3 linked regions of the Alligator mississippiensis genome follow. The protein of the gene in region 2 binds, or shares a complex with, the protein of the main gene of each other region. Links are inferred from orthologs where the notes say so. Each region holds a gene or a part of one and is shown on either strand. Other genes may lie near its edges.

Region 1 (7,249 bases), on a different chromosome or scaffold from region 2:
ACCCATCCTTAAGTAAGTTATCCTTTATAACAAAATCTCTCTTGATTATTTTCAACCTTAAAATGAATTTTCAGGGCGGGTGGTTTTGGTGGGGGCAAGGGGTGATATCAGAGAAAGAAAGGTAGATTTTAGAGGTTTAAAATTATACAAACAAAGAAAAAATACCTGATGCCCTTGAGGGTTAAGCCAGCATGAAAAATATTTGTGGTGCCACAGTCCCCTACAATTTAAAGGAATAAACTGTTATGTACTATTTATATTTACAGCCTGTTCCTTCTCTTTGTGTTAAGTCTCCCTCCACTCCCCTATACTTCATTTATTTATTTGATTTCTATGCCACTGCCCTCCCCACAAAAGCTCAGGGCAACTTACAAAGACAGTCATAAAAATTAATCAAGCAAAACAATTCCCCAAATAATACACACAGCTGAATGCCACCTGCTAAATTCTTGTCCAAATGAAAAAGATCCTATGCCACCTTTAAATGGCGGCAGACTCTAGAGGCGTCAAGGGAGAGAAAGCTCCAGAGCTGAAGAGCAACATCTGAGAATGATGTTTTGGCCCATGTGTTTTGGCCAAGCAGACTTGATGTGCTGATGGTACTTGCAAGAGGCTATTCTCGGCTGACTTTAGGGATCATAATGGTCTTACCTACCTTAGGTATATAGGACTCAGGACATGTAGGGCTTTATAGGTCATGACCAGCACCTCAGATTGCACTCAGAAAACTACAGGAAGCCAGTACTAACTCTGGAAGTATGGGAGTAATGTGCTCCTGGGGACCCAGCCATGTCTGAAAGCAGGCCACTGTATTCTGCACCAGTTGCAGCTTCCGGATGGTCCTTAAAGCCAATCCCACATAGAGTGCATTAAAGTATTAATCTAGCCTCAAGGTTACAAAAGCATGGGTAATGGTGGCCGGATATGAATCTGAAAGATAGAGCAAGCAGCTTTCACACCTGATGGAGCTGATGAAAGGTGACTGCCACTATCTCTACTCCTTCAGTTTCTGTTTGTTCCATACTCATCCCACCCACATACACCAATACCTGCTTTATCCAAACACCTCCTCTTATCAAGTCTCACACACCTGGCTTGAAAAAAATTACCAAAAATTTATTAAGGGGACAACATGAAAATGAAACATGCCATTGTCCACGTAAAAAGCTTCGTCACCAAGCCCTTGGGGGGGGGGGGGGGGTAGGACACGGACAGCTTGGATTGTGGTCCCTAGCTATACACAGATCCAGGATTTTGTAAAGAGGGGTGTGGGACCAGCGACTGGCACTAGAGGGGTGGCTGTACCCTGGGTAGGACACACAGTGGGAAGAGCAGCTGAGGACTTTTTCTTAAGTCCCCAAATCAGGTAAGAATCTTGCCTCCCCACACCCACTTTTGGCATCCCCTCCCTTTACCTGTGCTTAACAGCACCTCTCCTGCCTTCCCATTCCTTCCCCGCTCAAGCTGCTGCTATCCCCAGCTGACCTTGGGGACAAGGGGAGCTCCAGAGCTGTTCCTGCCCCACTCCAATTGTGCTCAGCCAGAGACAGTGGCAGTGGACAGGTTCTCTCTCTGTGCAAGGTCCCCTAAGTGTTCCCTGATAACTCAGGAACAAGCTCAGGGAGGGGGAACCCACCCACCGCCACTGCTGCTGTCCCCTGCTAAGCCTGACTTCCATGTAGCCTGGCTAGAATGGGGCAGGAGAGGTTCTGGAGCTTCCCCTATTCCCGGATAGTAGCAGGCAGGGAAGAAGGGGAATGGGGTGAAGTGGACATACCACTAAGCATGGAGGGAAAGAGGGGGATAGGGATTCTTACCTGCTTCAGGGAATTAAAAATGTCCCTGGCTGCTAGTCCCACAGTGTGGTTTGAAAGGGTGGGAGGGGAGTGCAACAGAACCACTGCGCTTTCTCTGGAACCACCTCTGCCAACATCCTGTTCCCAGTTCCATTTTTAATATACTCTAGCTGCTAGAAATGTAATAACTGTACATAAGCCAGATCTCCAGACACCACGAAGGCTCCAAGATGCTGCAGGAAAGGAAATAGTTGTTACCAATTTACCTTGTGAATGTGCTTCTTTTATCTCTGCTGCTGTTCATGGATTTCTGCAGCAGCAAGAGAAACAAAAACATGTGGTTATCTTTAGTTTTATAGCTGATCAAAATGAGTTCCAAAGAGGAGTATTTAAGCTAAAATTCGTATCAGTTTTCATTCCATTAAAGCTTGCTCTGGAAAGCTAAAAGCGGCAGCAGAGGCACCAAATATCACTCTGTGCACACTCAGAAAGAGGTTTTTCAGATTGACAATTAAGCCTATGGGAGCCCAAAAAAATAAAAACAACAAAAATCACTTCAATTAACCACTTAGCCCCTGCTACACGTTACACATATTAGGTAATGAACAGGTTAATTGCACTATAAATTTAGACTTACATTGTAGGTGTGGCCAGACTGGCCACAAGTGCAAAGTAATTATCATGCAATTAACTGGCAAATCACACAATAAATTCTGACCAGCCACATGTGCAAAGCAAGACAGGCCACACGCGCAAAGTAATTATCGCGCAACGAACTGGTGAATTGCACAATACATTTGGACCCGCCACACACACACACACACACAAAGTAAAACCAAGCACAAGCACAAAGTAATTATCACACAACTAACTGGTGAATCAGGCAATAAATTAGACCCACCACACGTGCAAAGTAATCATCACACAATCAAAAGGACTACACAGCTCTACAGAGAGCCAACCCGCTATAAAGTTAGCACTTGACAATGTGTAACAAGTCTGTAGCTGGTTTCTATCCAGTTTTTGTTTGAATGTGTGGCAAGGCCCTTCCCTTTTGCCCCAGGCACCCACTGGTGAAGAACCCCTTGGGAGAACCTGGGAACAGGCACAAGCTACCCTAACACAAAACCTTTTGACAGATCAGCACTTTGGCCTGGCCTGAAAGATGAGAGTCATTTGCCAGGGACTTGGCCACTTACCGCCTCCCACGTTTGCAAGGCAACCGCGAGCACCAGTACACCAGGGGCACCTGCCCAGAGCACCGCACGGGCAAATGAGCCCCGCGCACTTGGTCACTTGATCTGAAAGCCTCAACTTCAAGCGGCTTCGTCCCTCCACCCACCGGCCCACTTGCTATTGCGAGAAGGGGTCGTGGGCCAACGCCCCCGGAGAAAAAGAGGCTACTGAGACAGCGGCCACTAATTCCTTGGAGCAAAGTAAAAGGAAAGCAGGGAAGGGAACGGGGTCAGAGGTTCAAAGCCAGGGATCTGGAAGGGCGGCCCGGAGCGGAGCAGCCCTCCAAGGAGTCCAGTGGACGCTGCCTCCCCCCGGGTAGGCGGCCTCGAGCTCCGGCGTTAGGGCGCCCGGGGGTTGTTCCCAGAGGCGAAGCGAGGCGAGGCCCCCCGCCCAGCGCTGCGCCCCTTGCATCAGGCGGCAGCGCAGCCGCCACTCATGCGGCCACCCCGGCTGCTGCAGTGGGCAGGGCCGTGCCCGCCCGCAGCCACCACCTCCGGCCCCGCCCCCCTCGCCGCGCCGGGGAAGGGGGACAGGCAGGCAGGCGGGATGTCGGCGCTGGAGTGGTTCGCGCACAAGGCCCTGGGCGGCGGCATCTACTGGATCCAGGAGCGCTTCTACGAGTCGGGCAACCGCGCCAACATCTGGCTGGTGCGCGGGTCGCAGCGCGACGTGGTCATCGACACGGGGTTGGGGCTGCGCAGCCTGCCCGACTACCTCCGCGCCGCCGGGCTGCTGGAGGCCGGCGCCGACGACGAGGCGGCGGGCGGGGGCCGGCGGCCGCTGCTGGCCGTGGCCACCCACGTGCACTTCGACCACGCGGGCGGCCTGCACCAGTTCGCCGAGGTGGCGGTGCACGGCGCCGAGGCGGGCGCCCTGCAGCGCGGCGACAACTACGAGGCGGTGACGTGGCTGTCGGACCGCGAAGTGGTGCGGCCGCCCGGCCCCGGCTGGACCGCGCGGAGCTTCCGCGTCCCGCCCGTGCAGCCCACGCACGTCCTGCAGGAGGGTGCGTACGGCCCGGCCCGGCCTGCAGGGAGGCAGGGGCGGCGCTGCGGGTGGCGCGCCTGCCCCCCGGGCTGTGGGGGGGCCGAGAAGGGGTCGGTGCGTCTGGTGGACGACGGGGAGAGCACCTGGGTGGGGTGCCAGCCCCCCAGGATCGCCCTGGAGTCTGCAGGAGTTGGATGCAAACCTCCAGGAGACTGCTACCCGGGAGAGAAACCAGAGGGAATGCGTTAACATTAATATTATTAAATGTTGAATCGGATGTATCTAGTAGTTTTGCTGGTGTCTAAAATGTAGTAGTAATGTGCGTGTGCCTTCCTGGTGTCAAGTCAGTAATGTCATGAGGTCAGGTGATAACACCTGCGGGAATGGACTGAAGGAGAGTTGGTAGCCCTATGCCTAGGGTTGTTGGTTGTAGCCGTGTTGGTCTAAGGACGTGGGCAGACGAGGTCCTTGGGGTCAGTAGGGTATCTTTTATTAGGGGTACAGGTTGTAGCTGCGTGGCTTGTTGGCTTCTTGTGGGCTCAGATCAGGCATAGTCTGTGCTTACCTAGGGGAAATACCACGATCACCACCATGGCTTCCTAGTCGCACTCAGGAAAGACTGCTTTGCTGGCATGGGGTAGTACCCGTGTAGGTAATGCACAGTTAACCTGGGCTTTATGCCTACTTTATGGAAATGAGAGACTCCTCCCTAGCTTGCTCCTGGGGTCTTATAGCTAAGGGCAAGCAAAACTCAGGGTCCCCAAGTCTCTGGGCTTGGGCCTGCAAACAGGATGCCCGCCAAAGGATTTGGGAACATCTGAAGCCCCAGGTGGGGGTGGAGGATATTTGCCGATAGTAAGGCAACTTTGGGTTCTGGACTGACTCACGGATTTGGAAATGCTTTGGCCAATTTGGCTTGGAATACAAAAATTATGAAAAAACAAAAACAGGTTGTCGCCATGTTAGTCTGCAACCCTTGGGGAGGCAATATCTTTTACTAGACCACCTAGATCGTTGCAAAATAAATCACCTCCCCAAGAGTTGTGATATCTTCTATTAGACCAGTTGGATTCCACGCAGAACAGCATATGAAGAAATGCCAGACTCTCCCAGTGCCTGAAGAAGGGTGTTTGTACCTGGAAACTTGCAAAGAACAATTTTCCAACTCTTTAACTGGTTTAATAAAAAATATCATATTCACCCAAATAACCTTGTCTGTACAGCACCTAGGTGCAAACACATCTGGGCTTCCAGGTAAGCACTGATCCAGTCCCGGGGCACTGAGCCTGCCGGGAGCAGTTGCCCCTATACACAGGCACACCAGCCGTATAGGCCATTTTGCTGGTATTCATGTGCCCCTGCAGGGTCCTTCTGCACCTAGTGCTCTATGCCTTGAATGAGTTAGTGTATAAGGTGCTGCCCTGCGCTGCTGCCTCTTGTGTGTCCCACTTGCACACAGGGACAGTGCACATCTGTCTCAACATAGGGCAGTGCACCTGCGTGGTTGCCTGTCAGAAGTTTGTATGTATTGCCTCTGTGTTTTTGTGTGCCCACACCTCTTGGACATTTACTGCAGTTCTTGTTTCTACATCTAATATCAGCCATATAGGCTGGGGTGCGTTTATATGCATCTGAATGCATACCAGGATAGTTTCTGGTTGCATTATTGGTATTTGCTGTATATAGTCTTTAAATATAAAGAATGGCAATTATATTGGCATCTACTTCACTGATGTCTGTTACCTGATCAGCAGAGTTATAATGGCTGCATCAAGTTGTATGTTTGTAGTGAATCTCTGTAGAGCACGTAGGCACAAACTTGTCTTAGTTTCCAGATTAGAGACCTGATTCTTTTCTGCCTTGGTCTTATCTGGCCTTTTACAGCAGTGCAAAGAACAAATAAAATGTCACAACCTCAAGTCAGTGGAGAATACTGATTTTGGTAATGGTTTATACCACAACATGTAAACAGCTGCTCCGGATATTGGGTAGTGGAAGATCAGGCATATTAGGTGTATTGAAGGAAATTATGAATCGGGTGTATTGGAGGGAATTATGTTACTAGATGTAGAAGACAAACATTTTCAACGCTCTTCAGAATCTTAATTTTTCATCTCTCTGTGGAAGTGACAAAGAAAATAATACTTTCCTTGAGCTAGTCAAATAAAAACATTACTTTGTTGTCCCGTGGGAAGCAGGCAAATCAGTGGCTGGGGATGACTGCCAGGAATTGTGTGGTTTTCCAGTTTGTCAGGGTTGTTACAGGAAGCTTTTTCACTAATGGGCAATAGAATCTGCACCCAAGGAGAGAATTCTCTATCAGTCAACAGCAATTTGGACCAGACAGGATGATAATCTTCTATTGAGTGTATGGTTATGTCTGTCCCTTCATGTCTTAAGAGAGATTAATGCAACTATATGCATGTATACTCAGTATTTCAGCTATTTTTTGATGACAAAGGTAAGGAAAATCTGAGACTTACATTTCGGTTCCCTCTCCCATACTGAAAGAATCCAGCAGATACAGGCACACATTTGTTTATAGATATGTTTTCTCTGGTTTGATCCTAAAGCAAAGGAAGCAATTAACGTTACCTCAGCAGTTAAAGAAATTCTATTTCTGATGTTTTTTAATTGTGAAGATTTCTGAGAGAGCCAGATACCCTTTTTTCTTCTCTTATGGCACTAATGTACCCCTTTTTATAGTATGGAAATAAAAGCAACCATAAGAAATAGTGTTGTTTTATTTGTGATATATTTTCAAACATCAGCATGGATATAGGCCAACCTAGATTGCTGTAGCACTGACTATTTCAAAATTATCTAGTTGTTTTACTGCATGATATAGGGTAGGTTCTTCAGTTCATTTTGATAAAATCAAAATGAAACTCAAGGTAACTCTTTCTTTTAGGTAATATTTATAAAATGTACAGGAGAAATATTTGATTAAAGTTAGAGTTAAAAAATCCTTGAGAGCAGTACAGTTTTTCCTCCTTTTGAATAGGTCTTCACTACAGAAATGAGTTGTTGGCTCTATAAAGTTGGGGATATAGGCATCTCTACGTTAAAGGTTTTAGCTTTAAAATATTTAGATGATAGTAAAGGTTTATGTGAGTTGCCCACTACATATAAGAAACAACATTTTTATCTCACGAAAGTGTAAAGGAGTCATTCAGGTGTGTTAAATTTTATTACAAGTTCGGTAGTCACCTGTTGACTACTGTTTTTTT
Region 2 (7,452 bases):
ACTCCTGTAACTACTCTTTTACTTTTGTAACTGTCTGTACACTGTGAGAATTGTACTGCTTAACAACCTGGGTATACTTAAAGTGACACGCCATCGTCCCATGACGAAGGCACCTAAAGTAATAGGGTTCTTTTGCTATAAAATCCCATGTCTGTGTGGGACTGGATGTTTGTGACATGGTAGGCCTGATGGTCTGAACATGTCTGTCTGCTGCCTTAAAAATGTAGGATGTCCTTGGGAAGATGCTTATGTGCTTCCCTCCCAGGAGTTCCTGCTGCCTCCATTGCTTGACAGATGCCAAGATGCATTTCCTCAGCTTTCCCCACATTCTCTCTGGAGGGCTTTTTCTGTTTCCTCCTGGCCATCAGCCTTGCTGCTACTGTTGAAAATGTCCTACTCAAGGCTACTGTGCTCAAGGACACTGATAAAAGAAGATAAGGATCCTGTATTTACAGCAGTAGCAGGAAAGGAAATGTGACTGCATTATCTGGGCTGGGGAGAATGTCCTGGGGAAGAAATGTGTGTACTGGGAGGAAAAAGAGGAGAAAATGCAGCACTTTCCAGAGCTCCCTTTCCTGACTGCTGCTCTGGCCTTAGCATCAGCTGTGCTGGCAGTTGAATAGTGGGTGTCTGAGGAGAGGTTGTGGGGGTTTTAGTATCTCTGCCTTATCCTCACAGAAGGAGTATCCTCCTCTTTGATGCAGGGTGTGATGGTTTCCTCCTTGAGTTCCCTTTGAAAATTGTCCTTTGAAATGCTCACTTCCAGGAGCAGGTCTAGGGGCATGGAGCACCATGAAAAAGGGATGCATCGTGGGTGTCACTTGGCAGGACGACTCAAGCTATTTGCTTGCTGAAGGGCCTTGGCCTTGGCCCAGAAATCCTCCTTGTAGCCCTTTGCTTCCACGCCCTCCACATTTGCCCTGTATACAGTGTGGTTCCCCAGGAGCAGGGCTTGGACAGGCCCTTCTCCCACAGGCTGAGGAAATCCAGCACCTCCTTCCTATGCCAGGCAGGAGCACAGGGTTTGGATCTGTGTTTGTCCTTTATAGCAGCTTTACATGGCATGTTTGCCTGCTTGCATGTGCATGCTACCAGGGGCTGAGTATGTCCCAAAATTGCAGGATTTAGAGGGAGGAATTTAGACACTGGAATTGCTTTGGGATAGCTGCTAGACCTGGCACAAGAAAAGGACTGTCCACACATACTTCCTGTCAACTGCCACTGGTATTTGGGGAAGCTGACAGAAATCTGTGACTTCGTTACCATTTAGGCACTTTGAGCACAGATGTGCACACTGTTACTGAGAGAAGTGTTGACCAGGCTGAAACTGGTGCTTGCTGTACTCTTTCCAGCAGGAGTCAGTGGTGCCTGCTAGTGGCACTTCCAGAAGATGATGGGCTGTGCTCTGACCAGGGAGTTAACAAAGCATGACCCTGCTTCTGGGCAATAGAGGAAGGCAGTGGAGTACAGACAGGCTGGAAGGAACAGGACAGGGGATTGTGGGACTGATGATAGAGGAAGACTTCCTGCGCACAGCTATGCTGCAACCAGAGTTCAGAGGTGGGTAGCACCTGTGGGGTACAGCCTGTGAAGCCATAGATTATGGACTCATCTTGCACTCACCCTGGGATGCAGGTGTATTGGTGACTGGGTGAATCAGTCATGGGACAGGCATGGGCACAGGCCCAAGCTCACAGTGAAGTTCAATGTAAACACACACATGATCATGTGGCCAGGGGAGTTGACCTAACACCTGCTCTTCCAAGAAGCCCTATGGATCATTAGTGATCACTCAATCTGGGTCTCAGCTGAACATCCTTTCCAAGGGACGAAGTGCTCTTAATCCCCAGTTGCCCTTCCCAGGGGTAGATCGATTTTCCATCATCCTCTGCGAGGATCACAATGGGTACATCTACGTGTGCGCTTTAATGCGCAGTAGCCTATTTTACTGCACATTAAAGCAGGGCATAAAAAACTCTGCTATTATGCTAATGCATAGTAAAATAGGCATTATGCGCTTGTGTGAAAAGTGCAAATAATCTGGGAGCAATTCGCTTTAAAGTAAACTCCTGGGTATGCGGCTACACATGCAGGGATGCAGAAGCAGATCCTAACAGCAGACTGCTCCCACACCCTGTGGCCCTGCACTGGGCCTCTGCAACGGCCAGGGGGAGCTCTAGGCCCCCACTCCCCATCCTGAAGTGGAAGCTGGCAGCTCCAGCTGTCAGGGAGCTCCCCAATAAGGATCTCCCGGTCCCCACTCCCAGGCAGGCAGTACATAATAAGTAAGTAAGTAATCTTGACTGTTTGCTACTTGCATTTGCAGGTAGCAAATATACTAGTGATTAGAGCAAATTACTGTTCAATAAGCATCTGCACATGTAGATGGTGACACATGCAGTAATTAGCTCCTAATCTTAAGTGAAGGTGTCCAGTGTTACCTAAAACACATGCATTTGTGCTACTGCACATTAGAGCAGCCTAATGTGCTTTAATTGAGTACCTCACATTGAAGGGTGCCTGTACACGAGCCTGGAGGCCGCTTCAGTGCGTTGTAAGTAATTGACTCTGCTGGAACGTGGCAATGACTGTGTTCCAGCAGCCTCCCACATCTTGCGTATTGTGTCCCCTCGCTTCAAAATGGCAACAGGGGAGCGTGAACTAAAGCTTGTTAAACGGGCTTTAGTTCAAATGCCCCTGCTGCCATTTTGAAGTTCAGGGACACTGATACAGAAGCTGCTATGGCACTTTAATTAGAGCGTGAGCTGCTCTAATTCAAGCTCCCCACCCCGCAGAGCATGTGTAAAAGTGCCCCAAGGTGCTAAATTTAATGCGCATTAGGAAAAGTGCAGTATTGTATGCATAGGTGACTCATAAGGAGGTATGGGGGGGGCACATGCCCCCCCTGAGATTGGCTTCCACTTGCCACCCTCCCCGCTGCCACCACCGCAGCTTCTGCGGGCAGTCGCCACTTGCTGCTGCTGCCACTGGTGACTTCTGCAGCCGGCCACCAATTGCTGCTTGTCGCTGCTGGCTTCTGTGGGCAGTCACCCATCGCCGCTCGCTACAACCCCCACCCCTGCTGCTGACTTCTGCGGGTAGTTGCCACTCGCCACCCTGCGGCTGACACTGCCGCCTACAAATTGTGCCCCCCCAGTCTCAGAAGGCACCAGTCCTTCATGAATGTACATATAGGTGCGCCCAGCTTTAGGCAGCCCACACTGCTATTATTGAGTCTGGGATACTGGCAACAGAAATTGGCCTATCGTGCTGAAAGCCCAACTCCACCATGGCAGGAAGTACAAGTATGAGGGGCCTTGGGGGCATGAAATGCCAGAGCTGGAGACTTTTCAGAACAGCGCCCCCGAACAGCAGCTGGGTCCTTGTGGCAGACAAGTGACGGGAAGGTTTGGCTCCCAGTGGCTTCTGCCCAGCGCCCTTGAGAAACGCCAGAAGTTACTCCCCCTTTGGCATGGGTGACTGGTGCCTCCTGAATCTGGGGGGGCACCTGCAGAAGCTGCCGACCCTGTCAGGGAGGGCACCGGCCCTACCGACAGCATCAGTGTTGGCCCTTGAGGGGGGCACATGCACCCCCTATCAGTCACCTCTGCCCTTCGCGTGCGCGTGTGGTCTGTGCACTGCCTCCAGGAGACTTTCTGGCCCTCTACCCATGGGCATGAGCCTGCCCCTCCCTATGCCCCACATCCAAGTGTAGCCAGTGGTGCGCACTCCCTGCGCCTCAGTTTCCCCCAGCTGCAGAAGCGCTGGCAAGAAAGAAAGGACAGAGCCAAGGAGCCCTTGCATGTGAGCAGCACCCCAGGTAGCACACCCTGTTTCCCTTGAGTGTTGGTCCTGGGGGGCCCCCGGCTCTGCTCTGCCCCGTGCACAGAGGTGGGTCTCCAGCTGCCGCGGCAGAGCGCGGGTAGAGGCGCCGCGGACGAAATGCAACAAGGCCCAGGCTGAAGTTAGCAAAACTCGGGATCACAGCACAGCCTGGGGGCTGCAAGGGGACGGAGGCAGCAGGGGCACCGGGGAAACCCGGACAAGCTCAGGCTCTCTCAGCACAAGGGGAAATGCGGACAAACGCCGGTGGGGCAAAGCCTTGGCCACGCTGGCTCTAGAAGATAACACAGAGATAAGTGGGCCGCAGCAGACAGCCCCATCATCTGGGTAGCGTGGCCGAGCGGTCTAAGGCGCTGGATTAAGGCTCCAGTCTCTTCGGGGGCGTGGGTTCGAATCCCACCGCTGCCAGAACATTTTGTCCCTGCGCTCTTTCCCGGCCGCTCCGCAGCGCCGCCTGCCGGCCCGGCCCGGCCCGGCCCGGCCCGGCCCGCCGCCCGCAGCATTGTGGGTAAAAGGAGGTCCGGCCGGGCCTCCCACGTGTCTGCCGGAGTGGGAGCAACATGGCCGCCGCCTGAGAGCGCCCCGGAGCCGCACCGCGCTGAGGGGCCACCGGCGCCCGCCGCTCCCCGCAGGTAGGGATAGGCAGGGCCGGCCGCCGGGGCCCGGGGCGGGGCCGCGCCGCAGGATGGAGATCAGGCCCGGCTGACAGCGCCGGGCCGGGGTCCGCCGGATCCAGGCAGCGCTGGGCGGGGGTCGGGAGCCTGTCCCTGACTGCGGGGCTGGTCCCGCTTTTGGGACGCTTATTTCCCCCTGCAAAAAAATAAACATAAAAGCAGGGCCCTCGCCCCGCCAGTGCCCTGGGAAAGTGCTGCGGGGAGATGGAGGCCTCGGTGCCTGCCTGGCAGCCGGCTCCCTGGCTCAGGCACTGCTGCATCCTGGCTCACAGCAAGCCACCTCCGTCCTCCCAGCAGCATTTCTGCCTCCGACCCTCGTTTTGCCCCCTGCCCTCCCACCCTGCCTGGCATCAGGGTGCCGCGAGAAAGTAGGTTCTCCAGTTACCAAAAATGAAATTAAAAAAAGGTTTTGGCAGCAGGGAGTGGCAGGGTGCAGGCCGCCCCACCTGGGCCACAGGCCACATGGTGCCTGCTTTCCCTGACTCACTGACCAGGTGTCCTGGGGTGTGGCGGGGTTGTTTTCACCCCTAACGTGGTCACTAGCAGGGAGTGAGCGGAAGGGCCCGAGGGATTGTGCACGCCGCTACACAAATGCCGAGGCACTGAAAAGAGGTGCTTGCTTGATGAGGGACCTCCTTAAATCCCTGTAGCAGGGTCTGCCGGGCAGAAGTTACAGCACCCTGTGATGGGAGCCTTGCTGCACAACAAATCCCTGTAAGCTCCTTGGTCATTAGCAGGAAGTCCTCTTCCAAACCTGTTCATGGACAGGCCTGGTAAAGAGCCTGGTAAACATCATGTGGAATTGCCTTTCAGGGGCTTATGGAAAGCCTTTTAGCAGGCCCCGAGTTGCCGGATGCTAGCCAAGCCTGAGTTAAACAGGAGCAGCACCGGTATTTAGATGTGAAGCTCTTGAGGCAAACCTGGACGCTGCAGGAAATGATGCCAGTAACTCAGAAGGTGGCAGTCTCCCTTCGGTCCTGGGAAGGAGCCAGTGGATCAGTGGGACAGCGGTTCTCGGCCTTTTAGTACTGTGACACATGGCACTGGGAAATGTTTTGGGTTTCTCCCTATGTGTCCAGGGACTTCAGGAACATCTCCATGTACCCACAAAAGCAGAAATGTGTTACAGTCTCGGTGTTGCAGGGGACACTGTGCTGTTGGAGATGCTGTTTTTCAGAGAGACATAAAACAGGAGTCTTTGTTTTCTGATTGCTCAAGATCCCGAGGCTCACTTTTTGGGATACCCTAATATCCTGGCTCTGGTCATCTTTTTGGGTAGCTGGATTATATCTCTGTAAATGCTACCTGCAATTTCTGTTGGATATGATTTTTTTTTCACCTGTTCTAAAGTAGCTCGTGTTGCTGTCTGCATGTGTGTATCAGTGTCACATGTTCTCTCAGTTTAATTGACCAATAATGATTGGCACTTCTAGCCCCTTTTATGAATCCAAAACTGATATAAGACGACTTTGTGCTATCTATTCAGTTACAAATCAAGCATATTTATTTATATATCTCAATTTTTTTCTGTTATTCTTCTACTGTTCATGTATTTCTTTCTTCCTTTACTATATTTCTGTTGAAAAGGTTTCATACAGTTCTGTTTTTGTGTCTTTGAAATCCTTGAGTTTAGTTTAGCTTTCTTCACTATGGAAAGTTGCTTTTATGAATGTTATAAAACTGGTTTTGGTAACGATGCTTCCTCCCTATATGCTTCCTGCCTGTATTAGAAGTACTTCTAGTCATCTTTTAAAGGAATTGGAAAATTACTGGCACTTCTAATAACCAAGGGGTAGACACACAAAGGAACATCATGTAAAATACAGAACCAGTCCTTAGAGCAGGGACCAGAATGAGGGCCTTCTCCCGGCCCAGCAGTGGTCACACCAACACGCTACAGTCCTTCTGACTCTGGTTCAGTGAATCGTTAACTTTTTTCTAGAGAGTGGAACAGTTTTAAAAGGAGGGCTTGAGTGCAGCCTTTCATCAGTGTCCTGTAGCCTGGTAGTTAGGAAATGACAAGTACAAATCCCTCCGGGAATGGAGAGAATTTAACCTTGGTTTCCCACACCCTGGGAGAGGGTGTCCCACAACCACTAGGCTGAATCAAGCTCACTGCTTCCTGTTTCTTACAGCCCTGATCTCAGCAGTTGATACTGTATTTCCCTTGGCACTGTATAGCACGTAGTAAGGAACAGTCCTTGCCTTAAACAGTTTGTAGTTTAACTAGACCAGGCAGACAAAGAGTGCCTGCTTCCCCTGTTGTGAAGGGCAGAGTGAATTGACCAGGGCAGTGGAAGAGTTTGGGCTACAATCCAGTGTTTCTGAATCCTAGGCTAGGGTCCTTGTTATGGCAGTGCAAATCGTGCAATTGGATGGGGCCTTGAGCTGGTCGGAGCATTATGGTTATGGTGAACAGTAGAGACTGGCCAGAAACTATACAAGGCCACCCAAGTTAAGTGCCACAGCCATGCACCAGGCTGCTTCTCCTGTGATGCTTCTGCAGTTAACCACGCCTGTCACAACTCAGACATCTCTGGACTAAGTCCACAGCCAAGGTTCTGCTTTCCCCTGGATGGCAGCCCGTGAATACTCCTGTTCAGTAAGGGCCAGGGAACTAACTTTCACAGCCCAGGCTTGATGTGGTATTTTTCTTCTCTTTCAGATTGTGCTAGAGAGCCCAAGACAGCTTTTACCATTCTAGCATGGCAAATGAAGAAGATGACCCAATTATACAAGAGGTAGATATACACTGGACAACTGTGTACCTTTCCTCATATTTAGGTTTCTTAGCTTTTGGCTCTCCTGAAAGAATATCACTGAGCTGAGTTGCTGTCTGATGGTCAGTAAACAATAGCATACAAAAGATATGAGGATTCGGTGCACAGCCTGCATTTTCTCTGATCAGTGGCAAGTCATGCTCCGAGCCAGCATC
Region 3 (7,804 bases), on a different chromosome or scaffold from region 2:
CGGGGGATTTCCCGCCAAATTATATCTTCTTTGCAGTGTGCATTTCTTTTGCATCATAGTGATACACGCTGTAAAGAAGTTCCCGCCATTTGTATTAGGATCCGTGCCACATTATTGGCCCATTCCTAATGTAGGCACACGTGGCGGCTAGCGATTGGCTTGCTAGCCGTACAAAAGGCTTGGGTAGTTTCCGCCCAAGCCGGAGGAGGGAGGATGAGAGAGATTCTGTGTGAAGATCTCCAAGCGCTGCGGACCCAACGCGCCTCCCCTAAGCAGGCAATAGAGGCAATGGAACCGAGCCTACGGAGCTTTCGCTTCTCGCCGCTCCCCATCACTGAGCGCAATCCTAGACGTATCCCTTTCCTGTAACTTCGGACCCGCGGAGCATAAGTAACTCCGGGGAAACTTTTCGAACCTAACCAAACCCAATTTTCGAACCCACGGAGTCTTAACAGCTCCAGGAGACCTGGGAACCGAACCGGACCCGCGGAGCCTGAGCAACTCTGTGGGAGCAATCGATTTGTGGTGTTCCTCTAGTGAGGATCCAAGCGGAAGCTGTGCCTGGAAACCTATCCAGCCTACACCAATACCATCTTTGGGTGTAAGTAAACAATCTTTTCGATCAACCATTATGCCTCCATAACTAATTCTAACTCGCGTGCGCTAAACCGCCCTGCGGTTCTCTCCAGCCCCGCGTGCCTGGGCTGCCGGCCACAGCCCGTGTGCAACAAAGACGGGCCCGGCTTGCCCCCGGCTCGCACATGGCGACGGGAATGAGATCGGAATCACCGCCGCACATGGCGAGAAAGGTGGGATCGGGGCGCGGCCCACACACCATACATGTGACCCTTGGAACAAAAAGATGAGTACAGGATACATTCAACAGCGACCTTTTGCTTCTAATATTTAGTGTGGACATCTTTTTCTACATTGAGCCATAAGTCTGGCCACGTTTCTAGCAAAAGGTCTTGTTATTATTATGACAAGATCAAGGCATGGGATTTCACCATCACAAATGCTCTCAGGGAAGCTGCTCTGTTCACTGTGGAGGAATGCAAGGAACCTGGGTCACCACTTCGGCATAATACTGGCTGGTGCTATTTGAGCCTGTGCAGCTATACTTGGTTATGTGGGTGTTACAGAATAACAAATGCAACTAAAATTAAAGCAGATAAAGAGGTCAGAGAGAAGCTCAAAACTAAATAAAAATCAGCCTTCAAATCCTGAATCTGGTAGAATTTGAATGAAATATAGGTCCCACTGAAGCCAGTGGCAAAACTTCCTTTGATGTCAGTGGATCTTGACTTCCACTTAGTCTCCCAAGGGAATAAATGTGCTTAACGACCCTGTCATGACCCAATGATTGTGTGTGCGCTTCGGCACTGCAGAATTATTTCCCGCCGTCGGGAGCTTTCTTTGCACAGTGCAATTCTCAGCTGCAGAGAGAAAACCCCGGTGCAAAGGAGTTCCCGCCACCCGTATGTAAATTTGTGTCCCACTATTGGCTGTTTCTAAATTATTTCCACGTGGCGGCTAGCGATTGGCTTGCTAGCCGTATAAGAGGCTTGAGCAGTTTCCGCCCAAGTCGGAGATCTCCGAGAATCTCAGGAGGATCCTGAGAACCCTGATTCCGAGAATTCCGGGAGAAATCCGAGAGAATTCCGGCAAGGAGTCCACGATTATCTCGTGGATTTCTACGTAAATCTCGGACCGAATGGTGGTTTGATCAGCCATCAAGAGTCTCTCCCCGTCACCGAACAATCCCTGACGTATCCCTACCCTGCATGCTCGTTGAGAGTCACAGCTCGGACTCTCGTATAGGTTCAGAGAGCTCTCATCGTTCGAGTTTTTTTTCTTTTCTTCTATCTACAACTGTAACCAAGCAAGTTTTCCTGCCTGCACTGCGACCATCTACAGTGTAAGTAAAACAATCTTTAATCAACCTCCACGCGTCAGTGCCTAATTCTAGTCCGCCGTGCCGACTTCCCCGGCCTACGTGCCCGGGCTGCTGGCCACAGCCCCTCGGCCCCAACAGACCCAACTGTGTTATCCCTGCACTAAAGAAGAATAGCAGTAAGCTGCTGCTAACACTGAACAAAACACGTTTTCTGCTCTAGCCAGTCCAAAAAAGTGAGCAGGCCAGGCCCAGCCCTAAAGCCACACCTGCTTAGGAAGCAAGGGTGCAGGCAGGGAAGCTGTGAGGGGATGGGCTGGTGCCCCCACCAAGCAGATGCAACCCTACCATGGAGAGCAGCCGGTTGATGGCCACGGCCCGCTGCTGGGCGTCCGTGTGGGGCATCTCGTTCTGGATCACCTGATCCGTGATGCCGTGGGGAAACTGATGGCAGAGCTCGATGATCCTGAGTGGGATGAGGAAGAGGAGTCAGTGTGGGTTAGGGTTACCATACGTTACCACGGACATTTCCTGGACATGTCCTGTTTTTGGGTCCTCCTATCTCTATCTAGGCAGTTTTTTTAAATATCAGCAAGTGTCTGGGATTTTGCTCTCCCCGGCTTGTCCCAGCAGCGGGGAAAGTTGAGTAGAGGCTGGTCACCAGTTCTTTGAGCACGGGCCCCAGCAGCTGCAGGGGTGCAGATGGGGGGGGGGGGGGGGGAGTGTGCCTGCCTGCTTGCTAGCACTGGGGCTGCAGCAGGGCAAGGGAGTTGGGGGCAGCAGGCCTGGGGTGGGAGGGCAGGGAGCTGCAGATCAGGAGTGAGGGGCACAGGAAGGCTGGGGGGGTGGGGCAGGGGGCTGTGGGTTAGAAGTGAGGACCAGGGGCAGGGCACGGACATGTCACTATCGCCCCCTCCATCATATATCCCTCCCCCCACCTACAGGTACCTTCTTTTTTTAAAATGGAAATACGGCCACCCCAGTGCGGGGCTCCCCCATGGCCCCGTACCCGCCCCGCCAGAGACACCGCAGGGCCCGCCCGGCACCTGTTCTCTACGTCCAGCGGGTCCGGGACCTCGGGCTTCACCTTGACCTCGGCCATGGCGCTGGGGGAGGAGAGGGACGCCTCCGCGCTCCCCACGCACAACTCCCCGGCAGCGACACCAGGGCCGTGCGGCGCGCACTGATGACGCTAACCACAAACTCCACCCTCACCGAACGCCACGGGCGCCGGTTGAGAGGGAGCGCGCGGCGGACCAATGAGAGGCTGCTGCCTCGGGGGGGCGGGGCTTGGCGGGGAGCGTCCGTGGTAACGGCGGGGCGACGGGGGGCGACGGAGAGGGTGAAGGCCCGGGGGGTGGCATTTCGCTGCGCTTTTATCTGCCTCGCCCGCCTGCGTGCGGGGGGTGAGGGGGATGCGTATGTGTGTGCAGGGGAGTGTGGAGGTGTGCACATACATGTAGGTGTGTTCATGCACATGCACACAAGGGTGTGCGCACACACGTGCCCCCTCACTCACATGTTCATTTTAAAAGTCATATGCTGTTTTGTTTTTCAGGTGTCCACACAGAGGGAAAAAATGACTGCTGGTTCCGTCCTCGTGCCTCAGATTATACCGCTTCAGCTTCCTCTTGCCCGGAAGGCGAAACATGAAATAGATACAAATACCCTCGTTGAAATTAAGTCAGGTACAAACAGCAGCTTTCAGTCTATAGTGGAAGCTCTTCTCCTCTTCTTCTGCAAATTGATGTCCATGCTTTTTGATACTGCATTTGTATTCACACCTTTTTTCACGGGTACCCATTTTCTTAAGTGACCAGCATAAATTTTATGGGTCTTAATTCTGCAAACACACCTGTGCTTTATACGCGTGGGTAGTCCGACTGTAGTGAACAGCGCTATTCACATAGTGTAAACTGTATGGTAAATCATAGGTGTCTGTATTTGCAGGATCAGGGCCTTTAATTCCACTACTTTTGTCCTCCTTCCATTTGAAGTGATGCTGTGTTTGTTCTGTAATCACAGTGTAGTATGAAAACCTGGGCGTTTGATGATTTTGCAGTATGCTACAATTTTTCAAAACTGGGACTTTCTCGTCAGTTCTTCTCCAAAGGTCATATCTGCCAGTTCTGAAATTCCAGTTTCTATTTTTCAACCATAATCCATGTTCACATTAGAACGTGCAAGACTTAGAACCAGTGTTTGTTTTCATACAAGATCACCTGCTCTACAGTTATCTTCTGAGAAGGGAAATCCCTGTGATGAAATTGTCCAACTATTTTGTTGCTGAATTTTGTGAGGCTTAAAAATTGATATAGTCCAGGCCTTGCAATCACTTGCACACCTGCTTAATTTTGCTTAGATGAGTAATTAAGCATATGCAAGCCTCAGCAGTACTAGACCTTCCTTATTTTTGCAAAGTCCCAATATAGTTTTAATGCATATCTTATTTGTGTCTTGCAGATACCCCTGATGTCACCATATACTACACTTTAGATGGAAGTAAACCAGAGCTCTTTAGAAAATCTGGCTATGGAGAGCATAACACTTTTAAGTATAAGGGACCTATCACCTTGCCTGATGGGAAAATAATGGTCAGAGCTACGGCAGTCACAATGTAAGTAGCAACTGTCTATCTTATATTGTTGTTGTTGTTATTTATACTGCAGCAGTGCCTGAGAATGGCAGTCAGAGATCTTGACTACCCTGTGCCAGATGCTGTACAAATACAGAATGAAAGATACTCCTTGCCTCACAAGGCTTACAATATAAGTACCTTGTATGGATTCCTTTTCATTGATATCAGTTTGCCACCACATTTATTAGTATTTACTAATTACTTGCCATGGGCAGTAGTCATGGATGAGGGCCCAATTTCACTAGGCACTATAGAATCTTGCCATGAAAAGTTTTCATCATAAATACATTTGTATAATAGTTTTTATTTTCTTAATAATTTACTTTTAATGAGCCCACTTCAAAAGATGAGCTAACACATTTTCCCACTAATGCTGTGTGGTAGTTTAATATTCCTTTTCCCATTTTACACATGGCAATCCAGAGACGGGAGCAGTCTTTCCAAGTTTCTGTGAAGTCCGTCTTTCCAGGTTTTTGTGGGTGTGGGCATGTAACAATTGAACCATTTAAAAAAATGTCACTGATTGGGAACTGGTTCACAATTGTCATGAGTCAGAGATGTTGGCATGTACAGTGCCCTAGCCTTCCAGGTAGAAGGATTACCTTTTAGCCATTGAAGAACTGTAGCTCCAACACCAGAGGATGGGAGTGAGCACTCAGCCCAGCCTGCCTCACATTGGGCAAGTAATGGGAGAAGAGTGCTTACACCCATGCTTTGAGGATCCTAAGGGGTGAATGACCTGTGATTGTGGTTCACTTTTTTGCTTTCCCTTTTCTCCTAAACATGAAAGTTCAGTAGCGTGCACTTGACCAAAGTCTGCAGTGTGCTTACCTGCCTTGTTGGGGAGAGGGGGAGTGCTTGGATCCATATTTTTGCGTTCCCGGAGGGGGCATAATGAAGGACCATGGCTGAGTAGGGGATAAGGGCACAGCTGGTTGCTAGAAAAATAGCTTTCATTAAACCAGCAGTGCCCTATAAATGTGGTAAAAAGTGCCAACAAAAAGAAAAAAGAAGGGGCAGTAGAATTCTGGTCCTATACCAGAGCAGAAAGTTACAGCAGAGGGGAGAGGGGATGAGAAGTGATGCAGTGTTGGGTGCTTAGACCATGGAAACCCCCACCAATCTGAATCATGGACAACTTGGACTCCACAAATAACATTGACGCAGTTCACAGTGAACCAGTTCAAAAGAGTACTTGATTTTCCAGGTACTCATCTGAACCATTCCAGGCAGTTTAAAATTGGTTTAACAGACTAGTATGTCTATCAGGTTTAAACAGCATGTAAACTATTCTTAGTGTTATGTCTGTCCAGACCCAAAGCATACTGCTCAAGGCCATCTACTAGATTAGTAATAGATTAAAGGCTAGTTGTTCATAATCCCAGCCCCACAAGCCTCACTAGATCACACTGGGTGCATCTACACATGCAAATGATGCTAGATGGGTTTACTCCACAGTAATTTACTGTGGAGGAAACCCACCCTGGGTAGGCATCTACATCTGCAGGCATTTGGGACCAGATTTGCTCCCAAACAGAGCAGCCCAGAGAAGGATGCTCCCACCCTGGTTTGGCCCCCTGAAGCAGCCAGGGGAAACTTTAGGCTCCCACTGGGTACAAGCCCAGGGGCTGGCAGAGAGCATGGGGCCAGGAGACAGCTGTCTCCTGGTGGGGGATGGGAGACTGCTCCTTGCCCCTGGGAGGTGTCTGCTGCTAGGGTAGGCGCCAGTGGTGAAGCCTGGCTTGGGACTGTGTTCCCCTGCCCCAGCAGCAGAGAGCTCGAAGCCCCGGCTCCACAACTGCGGGCAGGGGGCTTGGAAATTGCTGCAAGGGAGGGGCAGGTCCCAGCCTCCTACCCCAGTCCACCAGTGGGGCAGCTAGCAGTGAACCTCAGCTGAGTGGGGATTTCTCCCTGTTCCACCAGTGGGGCAGCTAGCAGTAAGCCCCAGCTTGGCGGGGATTCCCTACTCAGTCAGGAACTCACTGCTAGCTTCCCCACTGGCAGATGAGGTCAGGAGCCTGGGACAGCTCCCAACCACCCCCGGCTTTGCAAGGAATCCTTGCCCAGCTGGAGGCTCACTGATAGCTGCCCCACCGACGGATTGGGCAGGGGGCTGGGACCTGCCTGTCCTCTGCAGCTCTTTCCAAGCCCCCTGCCCCTAATTGTGAAGCCACAGCCAGGAGCTCCATGCTGCTGGGACAAGGGACCATTGTCGCAGCCCAGGCTCTGCCATTGGAGCCCGCCCTGGCAGCAGGCAACTCCTTGGGGCAGGGAGTTATCCACCCTTCCTCCCACCCCCTCTCCTCCTCCCCGCCAGCTGCCCAACTGACTGGAAGCAAATTTGATCCTGGTCAGCTGTCTACACAGGCAGACACTTATTGCACAATACATTGGTCTACTCCACAGCAAATGCAGGTAGCAAATTAATTACATAGTTACTGCATAGTAAGGCATGTGTAGATGGCTGACTGGGAACAAATTTTCTTCCAGTCAGCCAGGCAGCAGGGGGCGGGAGATTGATCCCTGCCCCTGGGATCTTGCTGCACAGTAAATTGTTCTACTGTGCAATAAAGCATCTTGAGTAGACGCACCCACTGTCTCCTAATATTAAAATTCTAGCGCTTGAATTTTAAGCATTGACCTGGCCGTGGTGCCACTAGTTTCTTGTTCAGCATTTGTGGATGTTGGAGCATACTTGGAAGTTCCACTCCCTGGGTTTCGGGGCTGAGGTATCAGTGACATGTTGGTGTGTTGCAGCAGAGAGTGCTGGCCTAAGCTGCTTTTAGAGCTGCACTATGGACCCCTAATTATAAGTAGTCATACAAAGTAGGAGATAAATACTCCCCTACCATACATCCTTATAAATAATGGGGGGCATGCTGCCTTCTCTCATGCAAATGAATGGCACCCTAGTAATCACTAGTAAGGCATATTGGGAGCAAAGAACAGGTGAAAGAGGATTTTTGTGAAAGAGGAACAGGTATTAAATGTATCCATTTTTTTTCTATCCGTTTTTATTGGTGAATTTTATCATACCTAGAATATCAGTGGTTTGTTTGACTGGGATTATGCTTGTTTGATGAAATAGTAGTCTGCTGTCCAGAAGGAGGAGTTTCAAGACAGGACCTATTTTCAGTGTTGATTTACTTTTTACTGCACATAATTTTGTGGTATACCTTTTTACTGACTTTCAGGGACTGCAGAGAAAGTGCCATTGTAACAAAGATGTTTTTGGTAGAATACAAGCCACCAAACATACTGTTCTCTGATGA

The links.
Region 1: POLR3E (region 2) and POLR3G share a complex: the UniProt entries of both Homo sapiens proteins name them as parts of the RNA polymerase III complex. The link is inferred for Alligator mississippiensis from reciprocal best matches to the Homo sapiens genes POLR3E and POLR3G.
Region 3: POLR3E (region 2) and POLR3F share a complex: the UniProt entries of both Homo sapiens proteins name them as parts of the RNA polymerase III complex. The link is inferred for Alligator mississippiensis from reciprocal best matches to the Homo sapiens genes POLR3E and POLR3F.

Annotation. Positions count from the first base shown.
Region 1 is NC_081826.1:243,056,264-243,063,512, forward strand, and holds the start of POLR3G (DNA-directed RNA polymerase III subunit RPC7), read right to left. Parts: upstream 3,086-7,249; 5' UTR 2,996-3,085; intron 2,107-2,995; 5' UTR 2,063-2,106; intron 221-2,062; 5' UTR 166-220; intron 1-165. Other genes in the region: acyl-coenzyme A thioesterase MBLAC2, read left to right, coding at 3,468-4,038. UniProt on the Homo sapiens protein: DNA-dependent RNA polymerase catalyzes the transcription of DNA into RNA using the four ribonucleoside triphosphates as substrates.
Region 2 is NC_081836.1:46,616,256-46,623,707, forward strand, and holds the start of POLR3E (DNA-directed RNA polymerase III subunit RPC5), read left to right. Parts: upstream 1-4,367; 5' UTR 4,368-4,475; intron 4,476-7,182; 5' UTR 7,183-7,222; coding exon 7,223-7,258; intron 7,259-7,452. UniProt on the Homo sapiens protein: DNA-dependent RNA polymerase catalyzes the transcription of DNA into RNA using the four ribonucleoside triphosphates as substrates.
Region 3 is NC_081824.1:231,047,882-231,055,685, forward strand, and holds the start of POLR3F (DNA-directed RNA polymerase III subunit RPC6), read right to left. Parts: upstream 3,086-7,804; 5' UTR 2,997-3,085; coding exon 2,941-2,996; intron 2,361-2,940; coding exon 2,243-2,360; intron 1-2,242. Other genes in the region: DZANK1 (double zinc ribbon and ankyrin repeat-containing protein 1), read left to right, coding at 3,372-3,582, 4,358-4,511, 7,727-7,804. UniProt on the Homo sapiens protein: DNA-dependent RNA polymerase catalyzes the transcription of DNA into RNA using the four ribonucleoside triphosphates as substrates.